Linked DNA regions of Drosophila melanogaster. The protein of the gene in region 1 binds, or shares a complex with, the protein of each later gene. Each region holds a gene or a part of one and is shown in the gene's direction. Other genes may lie near its edges.

Region 1 (4,776 bases):
CGGCCGCCTGGAGACCCAAATCCTGGAACTCCCATGCTTTCAATTGGGCGATCTCATCGTTTCCCTGAAGAAGCCTCTGACGCAGTTGATCCAGCGCTCTCTTAAGTGTAGGATGCTTCTGCTTCAGCACCTTGAAATCAAAGCCCTGGACGTCCGATTCATTAGCCAAATCCTCATCAGAAGTGGAACCAGCTTCGGGCTTTGGAGCATCATCCTGACTCTTGTATTCCGTTGACTTCAGATGGAGTTCCACTCCATAGCCCGAAAGTCGTACCGGTCGCTTGTCCTTCTTGGCCAATTGATGACGCAAGATGTAACGAATCCGGCCAGCATTGGCTTCCTTTTCCAATAGTTTGTGATAGGTGCGGAATTGAGAGCTTCCCAAATCGCCGTATAGTACCACAGTGCGGGTATTGTTCTCACTGCCAGGGAAAATGTGATCAAAGCTGTAGGTGACAACAGAAGCATCCAAGCTATCCTTGGCGAGCGGCACTTCCAGCTTCTTCTGCAGCTCGTTAAAGCTGCAGGCCAGTTCGGAACCCACCTGGGCAAAAGTAAAGCTCTGACAAGAGCCACTGCTCCTCAGTTCCTCGGCCAACTGGAAGTGGGTCTGGATCCGGGGCGTCAAGCTATGCATGGATACCACCAGCCTAAGCAGGGGCAATTGGGGAGAACTCACATGGCTCTTGACCAGCTCCAAGGCGGCATTGTACTGTTGCGACTCGGTATCTGAAAAGCGAAAACGTAATCAGAAAAATAAATTACCCTTTGGGAAAAGATCACATTATAGGGCTTTGGGAATAGGTGATTTTATATTCCGAACCATTACTTGATTTTATATGGATTCGATTCACATTGAGGAGAATATAAAAGCTCTTTAATGCGGGTTCTCCATGACTTATAAACACAAACCATATTCGTTGAGAACCGTGTCCAACTTGGTCACCCCCGAAACGTAATCCCAGAAGAGGCCCGCCTGCTCATCGGCCAGATACTCGGCGATTTCCAGATATAGGGGCGTCTGCGTCCATTTCGCGTTGATTAGCGTGGTGATGGGATAGCTCTGACTGGATTCCCCAGAAGTTGGCGTATATAGTGCTATGAGCACCACAGACACACACAAAGCCACGGCACGTAACATGGTTTCCACTTGTTTTAACGTAGATTAAACCACGCACATTACGTATACTAAGCGTAGAGAGGAACTTAAGGCTTTCCTTCTCCAAATATTTTACTTTTCACCAGTTTTCGGCTGGTTTTAGCCCAGTTTTTCTTAATTTGATTTAGAACTGATGTGGCGTTCGTTGATGAACCGGCATGCCGCAGTGTGACCAGACTACATTGGAACTACATCGGGTTGAAGAACTTATTTAAATTTATTTATTTTACGGACAATTGTCAATATGGAAATATTTTGCTTTAAATTATAAAAGAAATTATTGAAATATAAAAATAGTACATACTTACTTCAAAATGCATAAATGGGTAACTAAATTCCTTTGTTGGTATTTTTCATACCTGTTGTGCGACTACTATCACTCTAATTTGTTTGTTTACAAATTTCAGCGCGAATTTCGCGACCAAAAACATAGTGCAAATATTGCCAATGAAATACACTTTAGAGGGCAGCAATGCAAGAGGTACCACATAATAAACAGCAAAATATATTGATAACTAAAAGAATTCATTTTTTAAGTCATCGCCAAAGCCGTACAATCGCTGTCCAAGGTGGGCAAGGAGATGTTCATCGAGATCGACCAGCAATCCTTGCAGATGCGGGCCATAAATGCCACCCAATCCGCAGTGGGCAGCATATCGTTCAAAAGATCCATGTTCGAAGTGTATGACATGCCGCCGCACTCAGATTTCTACTGCAAGATCTCCATGAAGGGATGTTTGGCCGTGTTCCGCAACATGAATGAGGTAAGTTCGAAAGTCTGCTCACTGGGATTAGTTGTTAAGAATATTATGTTCCAGGTGGAGTACTGTGAACTCAACTTGCTGGACAACCAGACCAACCTGCAGGTGAATCTCCGCTGTAAGCTGGAGACCACAAAGGAGGCCACCATTTCCATCATAGACGACCAAAACATTAACACAAACATTAACACCGATCAGATGCCGAATATGTGAGTTTTGGTTTGTGTTAAGGATAACTATTAAGTTTATCTCCTTACCTTATTTCTCTTAAAACAACTATGCCCATATAAATCCGAATTTACTACTCAACATTTCAGAATCCGTGGCGATCACAAGCTGTTGACGGATATATCCAATAACTTTAACTCCTCAGAGGAGGAACTTACTTTGGAGGCAAACTCGGGCAGTGTGGTGGCCAAAAACTACATAGAAGGAGCCCGAGTTAATGATAAGTTCATGCGCACGCAGCTGAAACTTAAGCCCAGTGAATTTGAGCAGTACCAGGTAACGAAGGAGACGGTCATTACATTCTGCATTAAGGAATTCCGAGCATTTCTCCTCTTCGCCGAGTGCTTAAATGCTTCGCTGACCCTGGAGTTCGACGAAGCGGGCATGCCTTTCCTGCTCAAAATTAAGAAGCATGGCGAGATTGAATGCTTGCTGATCATGTCCACGCTATCCCCCGATGATATAAGCTTCTCGGAAGATTATTGTCAAAAGGATCTGACAGTGCAGGATGAGGATGTACGAGCGGCGGCCGCAAAGCGAAAGAGCAGCGTTTCGAAGCCGAATGTGACCAACAAACGCAAAGGCAGCTCTTCGGAACCGGCTGCAGTGCAGCCAAAACGGCGAGTTGAGGAGACCCAATTAGAATCGAGCCTAGATAATCCACTGTTTCAGTTCCGGGACTCGGAGGCGCCATCTGTTCAGCACCCTCGCATCCTAGCCGAGGTGGACACTGTGGTTCTGATTGAAGATGAGGCGGAACAAGAGGCTCTCATGCTGGCAGCCGCGGATGCCGCTTTGGAGGCCAGCATGGCACCTGCTCCAGAGCCGCCGAACAGCACGGAGGTTTGCTTTATCAACACAGACGACTCTCAACAACCTAAACCTGCGAAAAGCTCCTCCGACGAGGACGAAACTATACCCCAGTCACCTGAGCGCCCTAACAAGGTGCGAACCATCTTCTCACGTTGCTTTCAGAGGACCTACGTGCCGCGGGAGCCCTCACCCAACACTCAGGTCTATGCGCCCAATTCCGATACAGAGGATTAGCCTAGATTTGATCGTTTATCAGCAAATACACTATACGTCTAAGTCAGGTTGCCTTCTGGATGCTTATGTGCGGGAGGAAGTTGCTGGTAATAACATCAGCCACCCTGTTTTGCAGGTCCTGGGCGTTCTTCTGGGCCTGCTGCAGGGATGTGTGAGCCGACTGAAGACTATGTTGCGACTTGATGAGCATTTGATCAGTGGTTACGAGCTGCTTTGATGCACTCAACACAAAGCTGCGAGTGAAAGCGGTAAGGGATCTCCAAATGGCAATGTTGTTTTCGACTGGAAAAGGGCATTAAGTTGAAATGTTTGAAGGCACAGAATTGGTGACATACTTAGTTTCCGCTGAAGCAGATTATTCCGGTAAATGGAAGCCGTGCTGTTGACCTGGTTGCTGCTTCGGCCTTGCTCGTAAATGTCTTCATCATCCTCTTCGGAGGCTTCGCCCGAAATTTCAGCAGCAAAAATCTGTCACAAAATGGTTTTATTATTGGACTGTTATTTATAAATGATATCCTCAACAACCTTATTCTTCTCCTGCAGCTCCTCGTCGGATTCAGAAGCTTCACCGCTCACCAAATCAGCCATCATTCAGTTTATTAAATACTATTGTAAACAATTTTTTATTTACTGCAGTTACGGCGCTGCCAGATCAGTTAAAACTGCAAACTGTTGCTCACATGGGCGCAGTTGAAGGGGATATTCTTATGTTTGTGATATCTATGCTAACAGATCCGTAGAACTACAATCATAAAAATTATTAACGGATAATGAATGGTATTAGTAACACTTTGCCCATTACTCAGAAGACGATGTAATCTCAATAAGCGCAAAACATAAATTTTAAAAGCATTTATTAAGGACTTTGAAGATTAACAAACTTTTTACATAAAACGGAGTTCTGAACAGAGTAAGAACACTATTTATTGGAAATATTTTTGCAGAGCTCCTGTCTCGAACATTCGTTTGATGTCAGTGCCACCGCCAATGAATTTGCCATCGATAAAGACGCGGGGAACCTACACAGTACACAGGTTACAAATGATAATTAATCTTTATAATGTAAAATATTTAGTGCACCCACCGTTCTGGCACCGGTAATCTCGCCCAGAACTGCCTGAATTTCGTTGCCATCGGGATTTCCATCGAGTTCTATTATGGTGGCGTCCACATTGAGCTTTTTGAAGGGCTGGAACGCAAAGATGTTTATCACTGTTTGGGACTTTTCAAGGTCTCGCAACTTTCTCACCTCTTTGGCCATCGTGCAGTAGGGACAGTAGGTCTTGCTGAATATCACCACTTTGTTGCTGGCAATGGTGTTTTCAACGAATTTCGCCTGCTTGGTGGACATGTCGACTATTGGGGATCTCAAAGCGGATCCAACTGCACCCATAAGCTCGAAATCCAGGAGGGGGTACGGAAACTTGGGGGGCAATGCGGGGAGCAATGAAAGCTGCGACAAGTGTAAGCTGCGGAGAATTATCTCTAATTTAATCAGTTTTTTAATCATTGATTAGCAATCAGCTGTTGTTGCTCTCGCCAGAGCTGCCACGTTGTGAAATTACCATCTCGTAATCATAA
Region 2 (4,158 bases), on another chromosome or scaffold:
ATGAAAGAGAGAGCAAAAGCAGCTTTATTCGCAATTATTTATAATAATAATTATAATACATATACTGGTTCCCGCGCAAACAACAAATCCCATGCGAAGAAAGGAAAAGACAGCTGGACTTGGACTAGTTGGGAAATAGACGGGGTCCTGAAACAGAAACAGGAATAGGATATCAGCTACCTGGAGGGCACACTCACACACACGCAGAGGCAGGCGCTCTCTTCCCCGTATATGCGTGCGCATGTGTGCGTGCAGGTAGGAATGCAACCACTTTTCGCATTCTGCCGCCAATTTTCAGTTGACGCAGATCCTTTGAGGATTGAACATGGAAAACGTGAGTAGCTGCAGGATATCTCCACCGAATATGTTGATCAAGAGTTTTTCCCATCGAATTGCAGCAATATCAGCGCATAGTCAGCGCCACTGCACGCGAGGATTCGCAGGCAAGGAGGAGCAAGCCCTTGTTTCTGAATGCCTGGTCGCAGACTTCTAGCGTGGACTTCGAGGTGCTTCGCAGCATCTCCGCGCCGGACCCGCAAGTGGAGGTCGAGAACAGAGCGCTCCGCGATAAGGTCCGCTACTTGGAGGCCAAACTGCAGCAGCACAAGGATCTGCTATCCCAGATTCATGCCACCTCCGCCAGGATGCAACAGGCATCCTCCCTGCTGGCAGAAAGTAGACCACCCACGCCGCCCGCGGTCCAGAGCCACCACATTCTCACGCCACCGAGTTCAGAGATATGTGCGCCCGCGCAGAATCCCCAGATTCTGGACTACAAGATCATCTCGGCACCCGACGATGCGGATGCCATTGAGATTCGCCTGGCGGCGGAGAGTCTGAACAGCCTGAGCACCTCTGCGGACTCAGATCGCCTGGAGATTTGCCTGGGCGACGAGAATCATCAGCAGAGCAATCATCACAATTCCCAGCAGCAGTACAGGATTAGCAACGGCATAAAGAGGGATGGTTCCTCCGAGTCCGCCGACACTCCACTACAGTTCATCAAACGCCGCAAGCTGCAGGAGATTCAGTTGCAGGAAGAAATCCCGCGGCAGAACATAAAACTACCAGCCAAACCCCAAGTCAAAGCCCGTAATGGCAGTTTTACCGATCTCAACAAGGGCCAACAGCAAAACATGGACAACGTGATGGTGTCCATTGGCCCGAACAACACCTGTGTGCCCGCCAGTGTCTTCGAGAATATTAACTGGTCGGTGTGCTCGCTGGCCACCCGGAAACTACTGGTCACGATCTTCGACCGGGAAACTCTGGCCACCCATTCGATGACGGGCAAGCCGTCGCCCGCCTTCAAGGATCAGGACAAGCCGCTCAAGCGAATGCTCGATCCTGGGAAGATCCAGGACATCATATTCGCAGTGACGCACAAGTGTAATGCCAGTGAGAAGGAGGTGCGCAACGCCATCACCACCAAGTGCGCCGACGAGAACAAGATGATGAAGATCCAGAACGTCAAGCGACGCAGCAGTGGCATCAAACACGAAAAGGAGAACATTATTTAGATGTATTAGTAGAAATTTGTTAGCACTTAATCATTAATGACTTAGAATAGCACCAAAAACGGCTGTAATGCCCGCACAAACTCTCACAATCCATAGATAGTAGAGCACTACATCGAACTAACGTGTAGCAGATTTTTAAAGATCTCGAAGATGATTTTACCAATCCGAACCAAAAGTTATTGTGGTTTTATTTACATTTCAGGGGTTGTGCAGGGTAGATAAGGGTTTCTGCATAAAGCCTTCATTCTTTAAAAAGTTGAAAAGAGTAAATGTCCCAATTCGAATTAGATAATTGGCGCGAAATTCATTTACCATATAAGGCTTGGAACTGGTCACCCTAATAATTAAATCACCAATATGCAGCGCTGCCAGACTTTTGTTCAGAACAGCTGTTGACGCCTGACGACTTTTTGGCGGTATTGTTTATAAACAAAATTCACTTAAGAAACTGGATTTAATAATGTCCTGAATGGCGTCCGAGTCAGAAAACACTACATCCTATTTTGTTCCGCATCTGGTTGATCAAGTCTTCGAATTATATCGGAGTAAAGCAGAGTCCAACAGCCTTACAAAAGGTACGAGCTATCAAATCAGAAAGATTCTGTAGTAACTACTCTGGATTTCAAACTTTTCAGAGGAACGCGGACAGTTCTTTTACGATCTATCCATTTTATTGGGCCAAGAACTGGTCCTGCGATCGCTACACCTCTTGGACGACCACAACTTCTCCTTCTTCCACGCCAAGAACAATCGATCCGTGTGCGTGGTAGAAATTTCCAAGGGAACCGAGTACTTCCGCTTGATTCCGGGCGTAAGTTTCTGCAAGTGTGAGTTCTTCCAGTGCCACGTGCTGCAGTTGCCGCGAGGCATCCTCTACCAGGACCTTCCCAGTGGCGAACCGGGCATTTTAGAGGATTGGAGCGAGGAGAGCCGGGTGTCCTACACCTGCCAGCACATCCTGGCATTGCGGCTCCATCAATTTCTGAAGCACACGGGCGGGAAAACCACCGAGAAGATCCTTAAGAAAGAGGATATCAAGGAGCTGCGGACGGACGTCTTTCGGGACTAGGATGACTGATGTGGAGCCATCGCCCTACGGCGACTGCAAATTCGTCGCTCGAGTGGAGCACATCAAGACCTTCATCCAGGCCATCAAGTCAATCTGCTTTAATGATGTAAGGATTAACTCGAACTCTCTTTATTCGTTAACCAACTTAACTCGGTAACAACCTATTGTTTTACCCACAGTATGGGATGGTGCAAGTCTCCGAAGATGGTCTGCGCATCACCGTGGAGCAGGGCAAGTCCATCCAGGCAACGCTTTTCATGCCGCCGGGTGCCTTCATGGAGTTCCGTGTGCAGGACTTCCAGTGCTTCGGTGTGAAAATGAATGTGCTGTCCGAGTGTCTCAGTCTCTTCGGATCCGCCGATTGCAGCCTGCGAATGATGTACAGGGATAAGGGCGATCCCCTGAAGATAATTCTGTATCCGCACGACGACGATGATGTGAGCACGGAGTGCGCCATCAAAACCATGGACTGCGATGAGCCCATTGACTACGATCAGAATCTGAAGGATCCGGATCTTAATGTTATTTTCGTACGCGGACCGAACCTATCGAAGGTGTTCAATGAGCTGGAGAAGTCCGCGGAGGAGTTCGAGTTCGTGACATCGCCGAACCGCCCGCACTTTAAGATCACCACAGTGGGGATCATGCAGGCGGTGTTCAGCGTCGAAGTGGCAAAGACGAGTCCCATGATGATGATGTTTAACTGCAAACAGACGGTGGTGGCTCGCTACAAGAGCCAGCAGATCCGCATGACCAACAAGGCGATGCAGTCGGCCACCAAGGTGGCCATTAAAACGAACTCCGTTGGCCTCCTAGAACTGCATCTGGTAATGCAGGGCGATAGCCAGGAGGAGATATTCATTCAGTTCTTCATAATTCCTTTGCTCAACACTGATTAAACCGAAACTACTAGGTAGCTAATAAAATAGAACTTTAAAATATTGCTAAAATCTTGAAATCATGTAAATCTAATTGAGGTCTGTAGTTAGCGTGTGGGTCAATTGTTAATGCTTCTCATGCAAATATAAGATGGATTCAGCATTCAGTTGAGTACTTAAGGTGGCCTTGGAACGATTTGATATTACTTTATAATACTTTAAATGACGTGGACTCCCGGAGGAGAAAGTTGCATCGCCATTTACAATGACTCTGAAGAAGAGGGCATGATAATGGTACGCTGCTCCAATGAAAACAACTTTATTTGTCAGACAGAACAATAAAGAACATTGAATATGTTTATTTCTATTTGTTCAATGCACTGCACAGTGTGAAAGTAAACAGAACTACAATCGAACAGTAGCTGATAAGTCAGCTATCAATAAATACATTAGGATTCCGCATCGATAGATTTTCCATCCGATTCCGGGCAGCGATGATGCCGGAGAGATTCAGCTTCGACTTCCGTCCGATCGATCAGTACTGGACGAGAGCCAAAGGCGCGTGCAGCAACACGAAACGCGGAAACATGTACATCCTGGCATCGCTGGCCCTGATCCTGCTGCACCTGCTGGTGCTGCCCATCTACCTGTACCTCACCTGGCACCACAAGTACTGGCGCAAGCGGGGATT

Evidence for each region.
Region 2: Rad9 (region 1) and Rad1 share a complex: the UniProt entries of both Drosophila melanogaster proteins name them as parts of the 9-1-1 checkpoint clamp complex.

The regions. Positions count from the first base shown.
Region 1 is NT_037436.4:18,869,315-18,874,090, reverse strand, and holds Rad9 (Rad9), read left to right. Parts: upstream 1-1,537; 5' UTR 1,538-1,606; coding exon 1,607-1,640; intron 1,641-1,696; coding exon 1,697-1,923; intron 1,924-1,977; coding exon 1,978-2,129; intron 2,130-2,237; coding exon 2,238-3,093; coding exon of another isoform or gene 3,094-3,195; exon of another isoform or gene 3,196-3,238; coding exon of another isoform or gene 3,239-3,310; coding exon 3,311-3,412; coding exon of another isoform or gene 3,413-3,477; intron 3,478-3,530; coding exon of another isoform or gene 3,531-3,663; intron 3,664-3,720; coding exon of another isoform or gene 3,721-3,783; 3' UTR 3,784-4,046; downstream 4,047-4,776. Other genes in the region: Uggt (UDP-glucose-glycoprotein glucosyltransferase), read right to left, coding at 1-729, 913-1,141; Blos3 (biogenesis of lysosome-related organelles complex 1, subunit 3), read right to left, coding at 3,239-3,477, 3,531-3,663, 3,721-3,783; Grx1 (glutaredoxin 1), read right to left, coding at 4,119-4,214, 4,280-4,384, 4,445-4,588. UniProt on the Drosophila melanogaster protein: Component of the Rad9-Rad1-Hus1 (9-1-1) checkpoint clamp complex.
Region 2 is NT_033779.5:2,572,813-2,576,970, reverse strand, and holds Rad1 (radiation insensitive 1), read left to right. Parts: upstream 1-1,918; 5' UTR 1,919-1,989; coding exon of another isoform or gene 1,990-2,095; intron 2,096-2,155; coding exon of another isoform or gene 2,156-2,589; 5' UTR 2,590-2,590; coding exon 2,591-2,695; intron 2,696-2,768; coding exon 2,769-3,488; 3' UTR 3,489-3,535; downstream 3,536-4,158. Other genes in the region: insv (insensitive), read left to right, coding at 326-334, 399-1,520; Sws1 (SWIM domain containing Srs2 interacting protein 1), read left to right, coding at 1,990-2,095, 2,156-2,589; Cyp309a2 (cytochrome P450 309a2), read left to right, coding at 3,962-4,158.